Pelodiscus sinensis: one gene and its partner. The protein of the gene in region 1 purifies or fractionates together with the protein of each later gene. This does not show direct contact. Links are inferred from orthologs where the notes say so. Each region holds a gene or a part of one and is shown on either strand. Other genes may lie near its edges.

Region 1 (7,852 bases):
GAGACAAATTAAATATGTATCTGTGAACTAGAGATTAACTCTGTACCTAGGCAAAAAGTGATTCTGTAATTATCAAGCCATATGCCTAGCTTCAGTGCTACAAAAACCTAGCCTTGAAGGTACTAGTTACTACACTATGGAATTTAATAATTAAGCCAATCATCAATGAAACGCCAGACTGCTACAGACAACATGTTCTGCAACATTAACTGTGATAGCAGTTATTAACTATCTGCTCTATCACAGTAGCTAAAGACCTGTCAGTATTTACCATCAAGTCTTATTTTTAGCAGTGTTGTAGTATGGCAGCAAATATTTACTGTGGGTAAAAGCGTACAAGTTTGTCAAATCATGTACATCATTTTGTCAACAAAGTATTGCACGTGATTTCTCTCTTTCACAGTTTGGAGAGAATCAAAACATCAACTCATTTCCAAAGTCTTCCAAACAACATTTATTTGGACTAGCATGTGTTAATATTATATTTCTAAAAGTATTGATTTCTGAGACAACTCCCCTCGCAGTTTGTTAAATCATATACCTTATTTCCATAATACAGATTAATTTTGATGAGGGAGGCACACAGTTCCCTTTTAGTTTCTTAAAACATATAAATATTTGAATTAGGGGGTAGGGATAGCTCAGTGGTTTGAGCATTGGCCTGCTAAACCCAGGGATGTGAGTTCAATCCTTGTGGAGGCCATTTGGGGCAAAAATTCATTGGGGTGGTACTTGGTCCTGCTGTGTAGGCACAGGACTGGACTCAATGACCTTTCAAGGTCCCTTCCAGTTCTAGGAGATAGGCAATCTCTATTATATAAAATCATTCTGACTCCATCCAGGAAAATTCAAAACAAACTCCTACTGAGCTCCATGTTCCCCTTTGTTAGGCACTATGGATGGCAATAAAAGTAGACAAAAATAGACAGACAACCCCATGACACAGAAGACAAGGTGAAGCAGCACCTCAGTGACCTACTTCAGTCCCCACATCAGGAAACCCTCCAAGACCTTTTTGCATGGTAATGCTCCTAATGATTTGGAGCAAGTTGTGCCCTTATATGTAACATACTTACAGAAGACTGCAAGTAATTAGGTAAGCTGTACTGGACTGTCTCCCTGTACACATATGCAATACCTAACAAATTTCTAAGTAGTGAATTACTACTAGAATGCAATAACAATTGATGGAATAAGATTTCCCTGCCTAGGGTGATGTGGGGTTTCCAGGCTTTCCTGTTTGCTCTGTACACTGATCCGCATTGTATCATTATATAGAAGAACTATGCAGGAAAGTTTCCACAGACAGAACCTTGCAGCGTTTCTGCATGCTGAGGGCAGAATCCCCCAGTGGATTTATTCCTTGCAGTGAAACTTGTAGATCACTGACCAAGCTCGGTTTCCTGTGTCTTGTTATTGAATAGATTATGCACGTCTCATTCTTCTAGTTCCAAAACCAAAAACAAATTATGGAGCTTTTAGTCAGTTTTTCTCAGAACTTTAAGTCTGTTTTACATCATTTTAAAAGGATACAATTAAACAATAGCGACTTTCAGTCTTTTTAACTCTAAGGATTTTTTTTTGAAGATGTTATTTGGGTGCTATGTAACGCACTAGCTCCAAAGTGACTGACAAATGACGTTTACTTAATGAAAGTGTCAGATTCCCTGGATTCTCACTGTTAGTTATTTCTTTAATAAAACTAGATTTATGCACAGGAGTGAATTTTATATAAGACTTCTTACTCTGTTAAATAGGAACATTCCAGGTACATTCTGAACATGCCAGGTACATTCTGAAGGCCATATTGTATTCTCTGCATGCTTCCCTGGCGATGACAAACTAATTTTCACTTTATCTGAATTATATTTTTGATAATTTTTGCTTACATATGAAACATGCTTATTTTCACTTTATAAGATTATTCTTAGGAAAGCTATAGTGAAATTAAGTAATTACACGTATGTAATTTTCAATCCATATCACATACATAGCCCCTAACATATTGTAAAATACACTTGTATCCAACAAATAAGAACATGATTTGGGGAATAATGCCCAACAGTCATTCAATAAGTAACTGCTGGCCAGTTTTGTTTTCATTTAGCAGCTGTCATTTTGCTCTACCATCTGCTTCATATTTGTCTTGGGCATTACTTCAAATGTGTGTGTATATATACTGTTATGCTTTAAAAAGAGAGGGAGAACCGAGTTAAGGTGCCAATGCTTGCAAATGAAATCAACTCTCCTGAAATTACAAGTCTTTATTTAGTAGGCCTAGAATTTTCATACATCAGCCAAAAAAGAATTTCACTTGCTACATTCATCCATTCATGCGACACATAAAGTTTAGATAAGAATTTAGCACAATCTGGCCACAAACCAAACAGAATTACCAAGGACCTCTTAAATTCATTTAACTTTGTAAAGCATTTCATCATAACAGGAATGACAGACAGTCTGCAACATAAAAGTGCAACACAGGGAGGAGAAATTAGGTTTCTGCTATTTCAATTATTTAAATGTATAAACTTATTTTATAAATACGAGGCGAACGAAGCCTAAAACAAAACCACTTCCCTCGCCTTGTTACATGTTTACCAGTCAACCGCTGGTTTTACTTACTTCTGGACTAACGGTAAGAGTAAGAGCCAAATGCGCACATCGCAAACTTCTTCTACACAGAGCGAAAAGGCCCTGAAAGCTACACTGACCTCGCCTCTCCAGACTGCTTTTATTTCTCTTAAAGGAAATGCCTAAGCCCGTGTAGCCTGAACGCACAGAACAAAGAGGGGAAGAACATGTTATTTCCAACAGTGCCCGAGCCTTTCCCATTACCTGCTGCAGTGATCCAAAGCCACCGCGTGTCCCTGCCCACATCGTGAGCTGTGACACCCCCATCAGCACCGCTGAGAGCTCTTCCCCCGAAGCCGTCTCATCTAAATTCCTGGGGAACGGGGGTATTGTGCGCCCCTTGCACGAAACAGCTGCTACCTCCGCTCACCCGCCTGCTTCTCAGATCACTCATAGTGAAAACACGCCTCACTTCCTGTCTCAAAGCCCTTGCTCTGGATAGCATTCCACTGGGTATCATTCCACTGGGTAAAGAGTCGGGGAGGGGAACAATATTGCAGCCAAATAAACCTGCCGCAGCAGCCAGCTTTGCAGACAGGAAAGGGCGCTGTGAGGCTTGGCCACAACATGAGTTTTCTGGAATACAGTATTCCAAGTCCTCTCTCGCTCGCTCTCCCTGTGCATGTAATTTCTCTTGCTGGAGGCGTTCCTCTGGCTCTATCCATGCGGAAGGATACGCTGACAGATTAAAGTGAAACCCGTATGCTTGTAGCCTGTTACCTCAGAGAGTTGGAATGCCTGGCAGGGAGAATGTCAGCAATGGGACAGCTGCTTCTCTGGCTACAGGGGCGCTACAGAAATAGGGGTTTACAACAAACCCTATTTCAGATGCCTTCTTTGCAGCAACAGCACTACTGAGCTGAACACAAAATTGATTAGGAGATAGAACTCCCAGTCCTTGGTCAGACAAAATTCCAAGAGAGATCAACAGGAATTTTGCAGTCAGTAAGAACAGTAAGATCAGGCACTAAATGAAGACTAATTAGTTAAATGCTTCATAAACTTGGACTAAAGAAAAGCCTCATATAAATATTAAGGATTGAATCTCAGTCGCTGAGTGGGAATCAGTGGGGAGTTCTACAGAGAAGGAGTTCTGACCTCTCTTCAGGTTTTTGTAATGGAATGACCCTCCTTGTTGTGTGTGACATTGGTAAGCAAGAAGAAGGGGCCAAGAAGAAGGGGAAAAAAATAAGTGAATGTTGAATCATTATCAGAAAATGTCAATTATACAATCTGAACTCTTCTCCACACTCTAGGTAATTTTTACTTGAATGTCCCCATGGACAGCAGATAACTGATCAGTGGCAACAAAATGTAGGTAATATTTGTACAATGAGGAACTTTCTTGAGTTATTTCTTCAATGTGTTAGGCCCCCCACATGGTTTTTATCACCTTTTTTCATTCTGAACACAATTTCTCTGCCCCTCTCCATCTTAATGCTATTGAGGTCTATACTGTATATGATGATTACTGGAAGATGTCTATTCCAAGACAAAAATTAGACTGAGGGATTTTATGTTAGGAGTAAATACCAGTAACAAGTGTACAAAATTACAGGAATATTCCAGTGATTTCCAAAATATGCTGACTTTAAATTTCATTTTAAAGAAATATCAGCATGTTAATGCACCTAATTAACACTAAGGCACCCAAATAACCTTAACTCTGTAGTGATACCATGCAATAACCATTCAATTATACTTAATTCATTTGTGATTTGGTCCCTCCCAGACCATTTTTCTTCCTTAATGGAGTCAACTATGGGGCATAGGGAAAGTTATTTAATACATCCATACATTGCAACACTAGTAGGTTTGGAGAAAAATCTCTCCCCCTGCTCCCATTTAGTACCCTGTCATTGGGAGTGATTGCCCTTGGCTGCAGGTGTCTGAGAGTTCCTACATTTTATCTGTTAAATCCAGCTTTCACTGGATTTACATCTCTGAGAACTCTGTTAGCTCTCTAATTTTTAATCTATGTGTTATTTTTGCATCTTACACTAAGATGGCACCCAGCTCAGCACAAGTGCATGGAGCTTGTTAGTGGGCCCCTCCATGGAACTACATGCAGCCTACATTTCCACCTTTCTTCACAGGCCCTGTATTTCTCTAAGTTTCCTATAAGGGACCCATCCCTCCCATTCCTCTCTGCTTCTACGCCTCTCCTGCTGTCATGTCCCCACATGTTCTGTACTGCTCTCTGTGCTCCCCCAGCCCTCGTTCTTGCAGCCAAGTCTGACAGGCACTCAGGACACTTGTGACAGCTGTGGCTTCATTGCTGTTTAATGCACATGCTTGGATCTCTTACGCAGTTCTTTAGCAGAGGTAGTCTGACTGCTCACGGAAGCAGGGCTGGTAGTGAATTAATGTGCACTACAGCAGGCTCCATCAAGTTGGAGAAGGCTCCGTAGTCAGCTGTAATTCAAGCAAGGGGGACCCTTAGCGAAGCTCCTTCCCTCCCCCGCTCAGTCCTTGGGCCTGCGACAGAATGGGGCTGGAGCTGGGCCCATATCTCCTGGGAGGTCACAGGCCAGTACACACTTTGACCTGGTTGGATTCCCACCCCTCCAGTGAGCAACATGGCTATTAGGCTGTACTAGAATTGATGGTCAACAGACTGACACTACTTACTGCCATGCTTACCACAGGCAGGGGACTGGTTGTGCCTTCATTTGCTGGCTTAGACTGAACTGGTGTTGCCCCATTGAGCGTCTCAGGGGCTTGCCTTTCTCTATCCTTGGAACTTGAGCAATGCCAGCAATGTAGCTGGGTATCGTGGCTAAGCAGGCCATGGTGGTTAAATGCAGGAGTTCACTGTGCCCCCTTCCTGGTGTTTTGGTGTCTATGCATGATTCCAAGGTTTGGGTCAGGGATGGGAATTACTCTTTGTGGGATTTATAAAATCTTCTCTCCTTTTACAAATATATTTTCTTATTCTCTTCCCTTTTGCTACTTAACAGCGTGTGTCTGAAATTTCCTTTTTGTTTTTCGCCACTCAAAAAGGAATTATTTCTGACAAATACAGGATGCTCCATGAAAAAAGGTTAAATCGGAGCTTTCAGAAAATTGCAAAGCCTTTTAAAATATGGAGTGTTGTAGTCCTATCAGGCCCAGGATATTAATAAAATGAAAGAGATAATATCTTTTATTAGACAGACTTCTCTTGGTGTGAGATACAAGTTTTCTAGTTTGCATGGTGCTTTTCTTCTGGAAAGCTTAATCAGAGTATCACAGATAAAAACTCTGATTAAATTTCTCAGACCTGGAGAAAAGCTCTGTGTAACTCAAAAGCTTGTCTTTCTCATCAACAGAAAGTGGTTCAATAAAATATATTGTCACCACACCCATCTTGTCTAAGGGACCTCTTTAAGACCCCTAGGCAGTTATGTGAAATGCATCACTAATTTATTTGTTGAGTTTTAAAAAGAGTGTTAAGTGCCATAGAGTCCTAAAATGACACAGTCACTATCCGGGTTCTACAATGTGTGCAGTCAAATGTGTCCATTATGTTTCTGAAGATGAAACTTTTATCTGTGTTTGATGGGTCCTCTTTCAAGGAACAAATAAGCTCGTAAACAATAAAGTGCAGTTCATAATTTTCTGAGATTATTATTGAGGTTTTCCAGTCACAGCTTTGTAGTTAACACTGATTTTTGCACTTAACACAGAGGTGAATCATTTGATTTATGTATGAAGAATACAGCATATCTTCCCCAGAATTACAGCATTGTATCAGAAAATTCATTCTGTATTCAAAGATAATGTACAAGTAATCCACTAATTAGTTTGGGATAAAATTAATTTTACAATATGCCCTTTAGCATTCAGACCTTCCTTATCCAGACATCATCTCTGCTCCATACTGAATCCGTAAGTAATTTTTTGCAATTGTCCTCAACGTCTTTAGAGTAAATTTAATATAATCTGGGACCATAAACAAAAATTATTGCATCATGTTGATACAGGACAGAGTTAATGTTATTTACATACCTTTACTGTTTATTTCCATATTTAAATATGTTTGTATTTCTTTTAAGTTTTACCTTAACTTCTGGGTTTGTAAGCTTTTTTATGGGATAATTACAACCCTGTAATGTTAATGTTTTTACATTTAAGATAGTCATATGTTCTTTAACTGTAGTTTTTTTTGTATGAAAATAATCTTTGTTTCAATTATTAAAAATAGTATAAAATATACTAAGACCATTTCATTTCATTTCAATGCTATCTCATTATTTCCTTGTACTCTCCTATCCATCTGAAGATATCTGATGTTTTGTCTTAGCAGAGGTGTAGGGGAGCTCAGGGTTGGGGGTTAAGGGAGAGGAGGATTTAGGGCAATAGGTGGTGATGTGGGGGTGCAGGAGTCAAGGGGTCGGCAGGTGTGGGAACTCAGGGCAGGGTGGTTGGAGTTTTGGGGGGGGGGGAGAACTGAAAATGCAGTAACTGTGCTGCCCGGCCAACAGATCCCCAGTGGCTGGAGCTTAGGTGCATTGTGGTCATGCTGCTCAGGGTGTAATCACAAAAGCCATTTTTGTCATTACACTGGCAGCATGCCCTGTCCCCAGCCAGTCATTCTGTTACCAGAAATGGGTGACAGGGGAGGGAATCAAGTGAGGATTACCTGTTGTGTTCCCTCCCTCTGGGGCATCTGGTATTGGCCACTGTCTGCAGACAAGATACTGGGCTAAGTGAACCGTTGGTCTGATGCAGCATGGCCGTTCTTATGCTGTGCTGCACCAGTTTATTTTCATCTTATTTTTAGATTGTAAAATCCCAGGGACAATGGGGATGGGTGGGAGGAGATTGCTGCATGTTTATATAGCACCTAGCACCATGAGGTTCTAGCCCATGACTTGAGCTGTTAAGCAACACTATAACACAACTTTTTAAAAGTTACCATGTGATATATACAATTTAAGAATTTGCAGTTTCACCTGAATTTGTTTTATTTTCAGTTTTTAGGAACAGATCTCATGTGCACTCTGTTTTATGACATTTTTGAGCAGTCCAAAGCAGGGGTGGCAGGTTTTCAGAAATTCTGATGGTACCCAGAAGATCCACCCCTCTCCCATCTGCCTAAGGCTCCTAGATTCCATCCCAGAGCCCACACCCAAGACTTCCTTCCCCCCACAAACTCCACCCCCCTCCCACCTAAAACTCTGGGAAGGAGTTTGTGTGGTGGAGGGTGCCTTGGATGCTGGCTCCGGGATATGGC
Region 2 (8,137 bases), on another chromosome or scaffold:
CACGTCCTTGTCCAGGTATGTCCCACCCCTCCAAACCATAATCCCTACCCACAGTGTCTCATCACAACCATGCCCACCAAGGCATTGCTTTCTTCTATAGCCATGGCCACACATCCACAGCCACGCCCTCTCTAGCCATGCCATGCCTCATAACCATACTATCTCTAGCCACGCCCATTCCTTCAAAACCCCACCTATCTAGCCATGCCCTGTCCCCCATCAGCACTCTCTTTAGTCACATCCTATCCCTTACAGCCACACCCTCTCTAGCCATGCCCCAGACCCTGCACCAGCCACATCCTCTTTAGTTAAGCCCCCATCCCTGACAACCCCTTCCCCTCACCTGCAGGCTGCCAGCACAGCCTTGTGGGCCAGCAAGGGGCGTCCCCCCACCAGCAGGGTGACATCGGTCAAGACGTGGCGGTGGCGTAGCTGGTCCAGGTTCAGCAGCACGTCGCCGGCGTGGCGTGTGAACTCCCGGACGCAGCCAGCTGGGCCCCTGGCAGTGCCCCTGCTCATGGCGCCTGCAGATACAGGGGTGGGGAGGGTTCCCGCAGGCCAGATGTGTATGTGGAGGGGAAGAGACAGGGCTACTCAGAGGGGAGGGTAAGACACACAGAGTAGAGGGGCAAGAGTCTTGCATTCCAGTTCCCCTCCCTGGCTCTAACCCACCAGCCCCCGCTCTCCTCCCACAACCAAGGAGAGAACCCAAGAGTCCTGGCTTTCAGCCCTTTCCCCCCGCTTTAACCCACCAGCCCCCACTCCGCTCCCAGAGGCAGGAGAAAACCCAGGAGACCAGGTAATGACAGCTCACCCTGACCAGCAGGGACCCTCGGACACTCCTGCCAGCAGGACTTTCAGGGTGTAGAGGGGTGGTAAAGTCCCAGCTGTTCCCCCGGCCTGGAGAACCAGCCTCCAATAACTCAGCAGGGCTGGAGGCTCTTATAATGTCCTGGAGGGACAGGGGGAAGTTCTCTCTCTAGTTCACATCCTTCCTGCCCCGGCCCAGCTGCCAGGGAAAAGGCGGGGGGTGGAGGGGGGTTATTAATAGACCTTTCAGGAAAAAGGTAGGACAAATCCCAGATCCACAAACAAATGCAGCTCCCCACTCTAACTGCTAGTTCTCATATCCATCCCAGAGCCAAGGCAAGAACTCAGGAATCCTGGCTTCCAGCCCCCTTGTTCTACCCCACCAGGCCTGACTCCCCTCCCAGAGCCCGAGAGAGAATGCAGGAGCCCTGGCTCCCAGCCTCTCCTACTCAAGTCACCCCATTGCTATGCTAAGACACCCTTGGTTCCCCAGACCCAGGAATTGGGAGGAAGGGACTGGGATTTGGGGTGGGGGGCAGCTTGAGTGTTAGGTCTCTGAGTGAATTTGCTCTGTGCCATTTCCTCGTATTGTCTTCGCCTGTGCTGAGGGGCCAGGGCCGGGGGGAAGGCACGGAGGTGGGAATATGATGGGAGGAGGAAATAGACTGTTTGTTTTGGACCCCGATCCCAAGTTTGACGAGATTAAGACACACTGGTCTGGGGGGGCAGGGGAGCAATGGGATAGCTCAAACACATTCAGCTCAGTGCCAAGTGAGGGGTCCCCATGTAACTGGCCGTCCTGCCCCAGAGGTGGCCAAATCTCAGCACTGGGAGAGGGGTCCCTGTGTAACCCGCCACCTCGCCCCAGAGGAGGCTGCATCTCAGCACCAGGCAAGGGGTCCCCGTGTAACCAGCTGTCCTGCCCCAGAAGTGGTCGCATCTCAGTGTCAGGCAAGGGATTCCCGTGTAACCAGCTGCCCCATCCCAAAGGTGGCCAGGTTGAGGGGTCCCTGTGTAACCAGCCACCTCACCCCCTAAGATGGCTGTACCTCAGCACTGGGCGGGGGGCCCTTGTATAACTGGCAACCCCACGCTAGAGATGGCTACATCTCAGTAGCAGAAAGGCGTCCCTGGATGTTTCTGGACACAAAGCCTTTTGTGGTACAGCAACAAATGCAGGAAAAGCTCAGTGGGGAGGGAGGGTGGGGTTCCCCAGGCAGTGACATCATTCACTGCGGGGGGAGGAAGACAGCCTAGCAGCGTCGTGGGTTGGGGCACATTTAAAAGGCAGCTTGAGCAGCCCAGCTTCATTTGAAGCCATTCCCTGTGCCCAGGGCTGCACCCGCTGCCACCTTCCTCTCCGCATTGGTCTGCTGAACCCACATTTGTATGTACCAGCAGCACCAGGGCTCCCAGCCCCCACCAGCAGCAGAATCACTGTAGTTCCAGGACTTGTTGGCACCAGCCTGTGGCCATTCTGTGGCGCTGTGGGACTGCGGAGCTCCCTGACTTGCAGTGTCAGCCCCTTGCTAAGCAGGTGGCATGCTGCAGAACTGGGCCCTGATAACGGGAACTGAGCACCAGGACTTCTGGGTTCTAGCCCTAGCTGTGATGTTGGGTCAGTCCCATTCTGCTGTTCCTCAGTTTCCTTTCTCACATCAGACTGTCAGCTTTTTGGGTCAGGGATTTTCTTTCAGTGTGTGTCTGGGCAGAGTCCTGCCTGAAGGAGCCATTCTCCCTAGATTAGCTATTCAGATTTTCCTGGTGGCTGCCTGTGTGGATGGTGTGGGGAAGTGGGTTTCCAAGTCCCTCTCTCTTATTGGTTTAACGAGGGGAGGGAAGAGGGAATTGGTTGTTACAGGAACCAACACAGAACTGGAGAGTCTGGCCAGTGGGCTGGAGAATGGAGACCCCGGTGACTGGTAGGGTTCCCAGGGGTCCGGTTTTGAACCGGACAGCCTGGTATTTGAGCTTTCTGTCCAGGAAACAAATTGAGAAAATACCGGACATATAAATGTCTGGTATTTTCTAATTAAGTAAGTTTTAATATTATCATGAGTATCAGTACGCAACTACGCAGTAGAGAGGAGGGAGGTGAGGCCAGGGCCAGGGCTAGGGCCGGGGCCGGGGCCGGGGCGGGATGGAATCCCTGGGGCCAGATTTGCTCTTGCGCCCCGCCAGGGCCATGCACAGGATGGGCAGCACCCCGGGATCTGCGTGCACCCGGGCCAGTCCCGCCGGCCAGTTCCTCCTCCACTCCCCTCCCAGACAGCCCCGCTCCCCACTGGCCGGTTCCCCACAGGCCAGCCCCACTCCCCCCTGGCCAGCCCCACTCCCCCAAACCCTCTCCCGGCCAGCCCCACTCCTCACCGGCCACTTCCCCCCCGGCCAGCCCCAATCCCCCCAACCCTCTCCTGGCCAGCCCTGCTCCCTTTGATCCCCTCCCAGCCAGCCCTGCTCCCCCCAATCTCTTCCTGGCCATCCCTGCTTCCCACCGGCCGTTCCCCCACCCTGATCTCCTCCGACCAGCCCTGCTCCCCCCAACCTCCTCCTGGCCAGCCCCGCTCCTTTCCCGGCCAGTCCTCCCCCCAATCTGAGATCAAGTGTGTCTGGTATTTTTTTTAAATCATCTGGTACCCCTAGTGACTGGTGACCCCAGCCCAGACAGTAGAGAGAGGACCCCAATGACCTATCCAGCTGGTTCCAGCCCATGAGGACAAAGGACAGATGAGGGGAAAGAGAGACAGAAAAGAGAGGGGCCAGGGCAAGCTTGTTTACCAGGACAGAAGACATCGACAGCCATAGGACGGTTTGGGGCAGCCACCCCAGGCCCTGTGCCACCCCAGGCCCTGTGCCTTTGGGGTCTCTGTAGTGACCGCCAAAAACATCCTATAGACAAGACCCATGGCATTACATGGTGCCTGGGGCCTGAACAGGGGTGGGGCAGGGCCTGCAGCGGGTGGGGGCCCTGGAAATTAGGACAGCCATGGGGTTTGGGGGCAGGGAATATCAGAGGCCCAGATAGGAAGTGCTCAGGGCGCAGGATAGGAGGGGGAACAGAGCACCCAGAGCCCACCTGGCTTCAGGGAAGACTCAAACATGCTGGCTGTGTCTAGACTGAAAAGTTTTTCTGCAAAATCAGATGATTTTGCGGAAAAACTTGCCAGCTGTCTACACTGGCTGCTTGAATTTCCGGAAAAGCACTGACAATCTAATGTAAAATCATCAATACTTTTCCGGAAATACTATGCTGCTCCCGTTCGGGCAAAAGTCTTTTTCCGAAAGACTTTTGCCCAAAAGGGCCAGTGTAGACAGCATAGTAGTGTTTTCCGAAAAAAAAGCCCCGATCACGAAAATGGCGATCGGGGCTTTTTTGCGGAAAACCGTGTCTAGATTGGCCACGGACGTTTTTCCGCAAAAAGTGCTTTTGCGGAAAAGCATCCTGCCAATCTAGACGTGCTTTTCCGAAAATGCTTTTAACGGAAAACTTTTCTGTTAAAAGCATTTTCGGAAATTCGTGCCAGTCTAGACGTAGCCGCTGTGCTGAGGGAGGCCAGGCCTACCAACCCTGACAGTTTCTATGCTGTGTTCAGACGCTAAATAAACCCTCCTGTTTTATAGCTGAGAGTCGTTTTGGTCTGGAGAACAGGGCTGCATTATTCCCTCTGGGAGTGCAGGCTCAAGGGTCCAGGACAAGTGCACTCCCTGAGGGGGCCCACAACAGAAACAGGCATGCTGGGGGCTCAGAGAGGTGCAGTCCAAGGAGTTAAGGGGCTTAACTCCCAAAAGAGAGTGGCCCCTGAGAAGAGGCTGTCGCAGGGAAGGGGGTTCCCCCAGAGGCTGCACAGGGTCAAGCATGGGCACAAATCTGCAACAGACAGGCTACCAATAATCTCCAGGACTGATAAGGTAGCAGGAGAGGCTCAAGGATTGATAATGCTGGAAGGGAGCCAGGGATGCTAAGCAGGGCCCAGGAAACCCTTCTGCCAGGGAAAAGGCGGGTATCCAGTTCCCCACCCAGAGCCAGGCCGCTCCCTCCCACAGCCAGGAAGAGAACCCAGGAGTCCTGGCTCCCAGCCCCTCCCCGACCCAACCTCCAGCTCTGCTCTAACCCACCACCCCTCACTCCCCTCCCAGAGTGGGCGGGGGACCCTGCCTCCATCCCAGCCCAGGGTGGGCCTAGGTTGCCCCTCCCATCCCATGCTCCCCCCACCGGAAGTGGCAGGAATTCCCAGCCCCACGTGACCCTATCTGGAATGTGGTGTCGTCATCGAGGGGGTCCATTAAAAAGTTTTTGGGGGCAGGTGGGGGAGGGGGAACTTTTCCGGGAAGTTCGGAGCTGGCTGGATCCGGAAGCTCTAGGACTCTTCCCTGCGAGCCAGGGACCCTCCCAGCGGGGCAAGACAGGAGGCGGTGGGACCCCCCGCCGGGATTCCCCCTCGGGGTTAGGTAAGTAGCGGGTCCCTCCTCCCCGCAGGTATTCCCCCACGTGACCAGAGACACCCCCTCCTCGCACCTCTCCTCCCCCCGGGCACCCACGGGGGGGGGGAACCGGAGCAGGCTGGAGTAAGACCCCCACACCCGTGGGAATCCTTCCCAAAACCAGGGCTATGAGGCCAGGTGCGAGTTACATCATCCCCCCCCCTCCCCCGCGGCTACCAGGGCTGCCCCACACCCCTCCCAGAGCTGGGGAGAGAACCCAGGAGTCCTGATTTCTCGCTCTTCCCCCTCTAACCTCTCTACACCACTCCCCCCACAGGTCCCCGAGATGTCCGGTCCCACCTGGCTCCCCCCCAAGCGGGCAAGTTCTTCGGGGTCTCCCGGCGTCTCAGTCTCTGCTCCGGCGCTTTGCAAACCCCAGAAGAAACATGCCACGGGCCCTGCATCCCCCCGGTTGGCCCCCCAGGAACAGAACGGGGAAGGCATGAGTGGGACGGGCTACCAGCCAGAGGGCCCCGGTAAATACCTCCCCCTCCCCCCATGCCCGATGGGTCTGATCCAGGTGAGGGCAGTGGATGCCTGCCTGGGTTGCAAGGGAGCAAATCAGAGCAGAGGGGCTGGAAGCTCACACTCCTGGACTCTCCCCCCAGCTCAGGGAGGAGAGTGGGGGCTGATGGTTAGAGCAGGGGGACTGAGAGCCAGCACAGAGCAGGAGGGGTCTGACTCCTTTTTCCCTCTCTAGGCAGCCTCTCCCCCCATCATCAGGATCCCAGGGGGCCGGCCCCCCTGCTTTCTAGCTTTGGCCCCCTGGCTGGCTCCCAGCATCATCACCCATCTGTCTCTGGGGCCAAGGATGAGCGAGGCCTGGGGGCACCGTGGGGGGCTGCCCTGTCTGCTGCACGAGGATACCACATCCAGGTAGGAGGTGGAACAGGAGGGAGGATGGGCCAGAACATGGAGTCCTTGTAAAGGCAGGACTCAGGGTGAATTTCCTTATGTGCATGGCATTGGAAGGGCATCCCCCCAGCCCGGAGCACCCCTCAAAACCTCTCCTAGCCCTCAGGGATTTGAGGTAGTAGAGGAAGTGGGAGTAAAAGCTCTCCCATAGGGTGACAGCACAGTATCCTTGAAGGCTTAATTTTCCCATAATTAATCTGCCTTTGTCATAGGGGGCACAGGAGAAAGTGCCTTCCTGATCCTGCCCATCTCATGCCCTAGAGCATAATGCCCGATTTTTGTTAACTTGTGGAACTGCCTGCCACTAGGTCAGCAGCTGCACTCTGTGATTCCATCTTGCAAGTCTGGACTGTACCATACAGCCCCCCTATCTCTACACTCTAATCTGCTGTCTGTTTCCTTAGGGATCTGCCCTAGATCCAGGACCCCACCGCCCTTCCAGCATTGACGCCCAAATAGATTCACTCACCCATATGCTGGCAGATATGGAGAGCACCGGCCCCCAGCGCCAGGGAGAGAGGCAGGTAAACAGCCAGGAGGCTTTGGGGCGGTGGTTTCATTGGCACAGACTTTCCCACCAATGAAATGTCAGCCCTATGATCACTTCTTTCCAAGTACCTTCTTGCCCCTCTCCTTGCCATCATATGGCAACACCAGTGCCCAGCATCTCCAGAACCACTGGATCCAGACTCCACATGATGCCATTGGAAAGCAAAGACCCAGAACTTCCAGGTGGTATCAGCTACCCATTTCTCCTTCCCCCAGTTCTCCAGGTATTAGCCACTGGAAATTACTTTCCAACCTACATCCTGCGGTAAGGGAAATCAGGATGGTACACAGGAGTCACATTGGGCCTCTTTTAGTGCCTGATTTCTCCTGAACCATTGGGCATAGAGATGTCATGTGCTGCTGGAAAGCTAAAAATCCAAGCTTGCTAATGGAGTATGCCACAAGCTTTCAGCTTCGACGGTTTGTGCAATATTGATGGTTTTATGGGACCATTGTTGATGTAGCCAAAGTTGAGCGTTAACTTGCAGTCTTGGTGGGTTCCTTGGGGAATGGTGGCTCTTTTGATGTGTTGAGGGTTGGGGTGGGGAGCATTTTGGGGTGAGGTGGATTTGTAGGCTAGGGAGTCATTAGATATCCCCCCAAGTACAGCAGGGATCCCCAAATCCTCACCTATCTGCTTCCAGATGTCTGTTTCATCTTCTCCTTTCGTCTCCAGAACTTCGACTCTGTCCCGTATCCATCAGCAACTGCCCCCCCACAACCTGGCGCCCACAAAATGCCCAGCCCTTACAAGCCAGGCTCCTTTGCCCCACCCTGTGCCTCCAAGAGCTCATCATATGGGCCGTTGCCCCAACCTGCCACCTCAATGGCTCCCTCCGGGCCAGCTCCCCCATATGGGGCTGGCTATCCATGGATGCTGCCTGGGCAGAAGCTGTATCCACAGCCTATGCCTGCATCCTACACCACGGCCTCCACATCAGCTGGGCCAGCCTTCAACATCCAGGTCAAAGTTGCCCAGCCAGTGTTAGGCTATGGTCAGCCGAGACGCCGGGCTGAGCAGGCTTATGCACCCCCATCACCCGGAGCTGGCCGTGGGGCCCAGTACGGCTCAGAGCCAGGTGGCAGGGGGGTGGAGGGCTGGTATCTGGAGCCTGGGGGCTATGGCAAGAGGCTGGGTGAGGGGGAATGCTATGAGGCAGGAGGGCTGGCGAAGCCAGGAGAGGCATCCGGGACTCAGTACCAAGCTGCTGTGGGGACTCCAGGAAAGGAAGAGATGGCGGTGTCAGCAAAGGTGCCCCCTGGTGACAGAGGAGGATACCAGCACCAGGTAATGTGAGAGTAAATGGGCCCCAGGGGCATGAGGGGCAGCCACACATGTAGGTCCTCTGGGACAGGAGTGGGGGGCTGGTGGGTTAGAGCA

What was found.
Region 2: the proteins of PTPN21 (region 1) and thyroid receptor-interacting protein 6-like purify together in Homo sapiens (affinity purification with mass spectrometry; 3 studies listed by BioGRID and IntAct, with this or other methods). This does not show direct contact. The link is inferred for Pelodiscus sinensis from reciprocal best matches to the Homo sapiens genes PTPN21 and TRIP6.

The regions. Positions count from the first base shown.
Region 1 is NC_134714.1:34,178,700-34,186,551, reverse strand, and holds the start of PTPN21 (tyrosine-protein phosphatase non-receptor type 21), read right to left. Parts: upstream 3,261-7,852; 5' UTR 2,839-3,260; intron 1-2,838.
Region 2 is NC_134734.1:9,899,290-9,907,426, forward strand, and holds the start of thyroid receptor-interacting protein 6-like, read left to right. Parts: upstream 1-5,045; 5' UTR 5,046-5,066; coding exon 5,067-5,259; intron 5,260-5,569; exon of another isoform or gene 5,570-5,578; coding exon of another isoform or gene 5,579-5,768; intron 5,769-5,992; coding exon 5,993-6,168; intron 6,169-6,611; coding exon 6,612-6,731; intron 6,732-6,737; exon of another isoform or gene 6,738-6,803; coding exon of another isoform or gene 6,804-6,980; intron 6,981-7,432; coding exon 7,433-8,044; intron 8,045-8,137. Other genes in the region: BCL6B (B-cell CLL/lymphoma 6 member B protein), read right to left, coding at 344-519. UniProt on the Homo sapiens protein: Relays signals from the cell surface to the nucleus to weaken adherens junction and promote actin cytoskeleton reorganization and cell invasiveness. Involved in lysophosphatidic acid-induced cell adhesion and migration.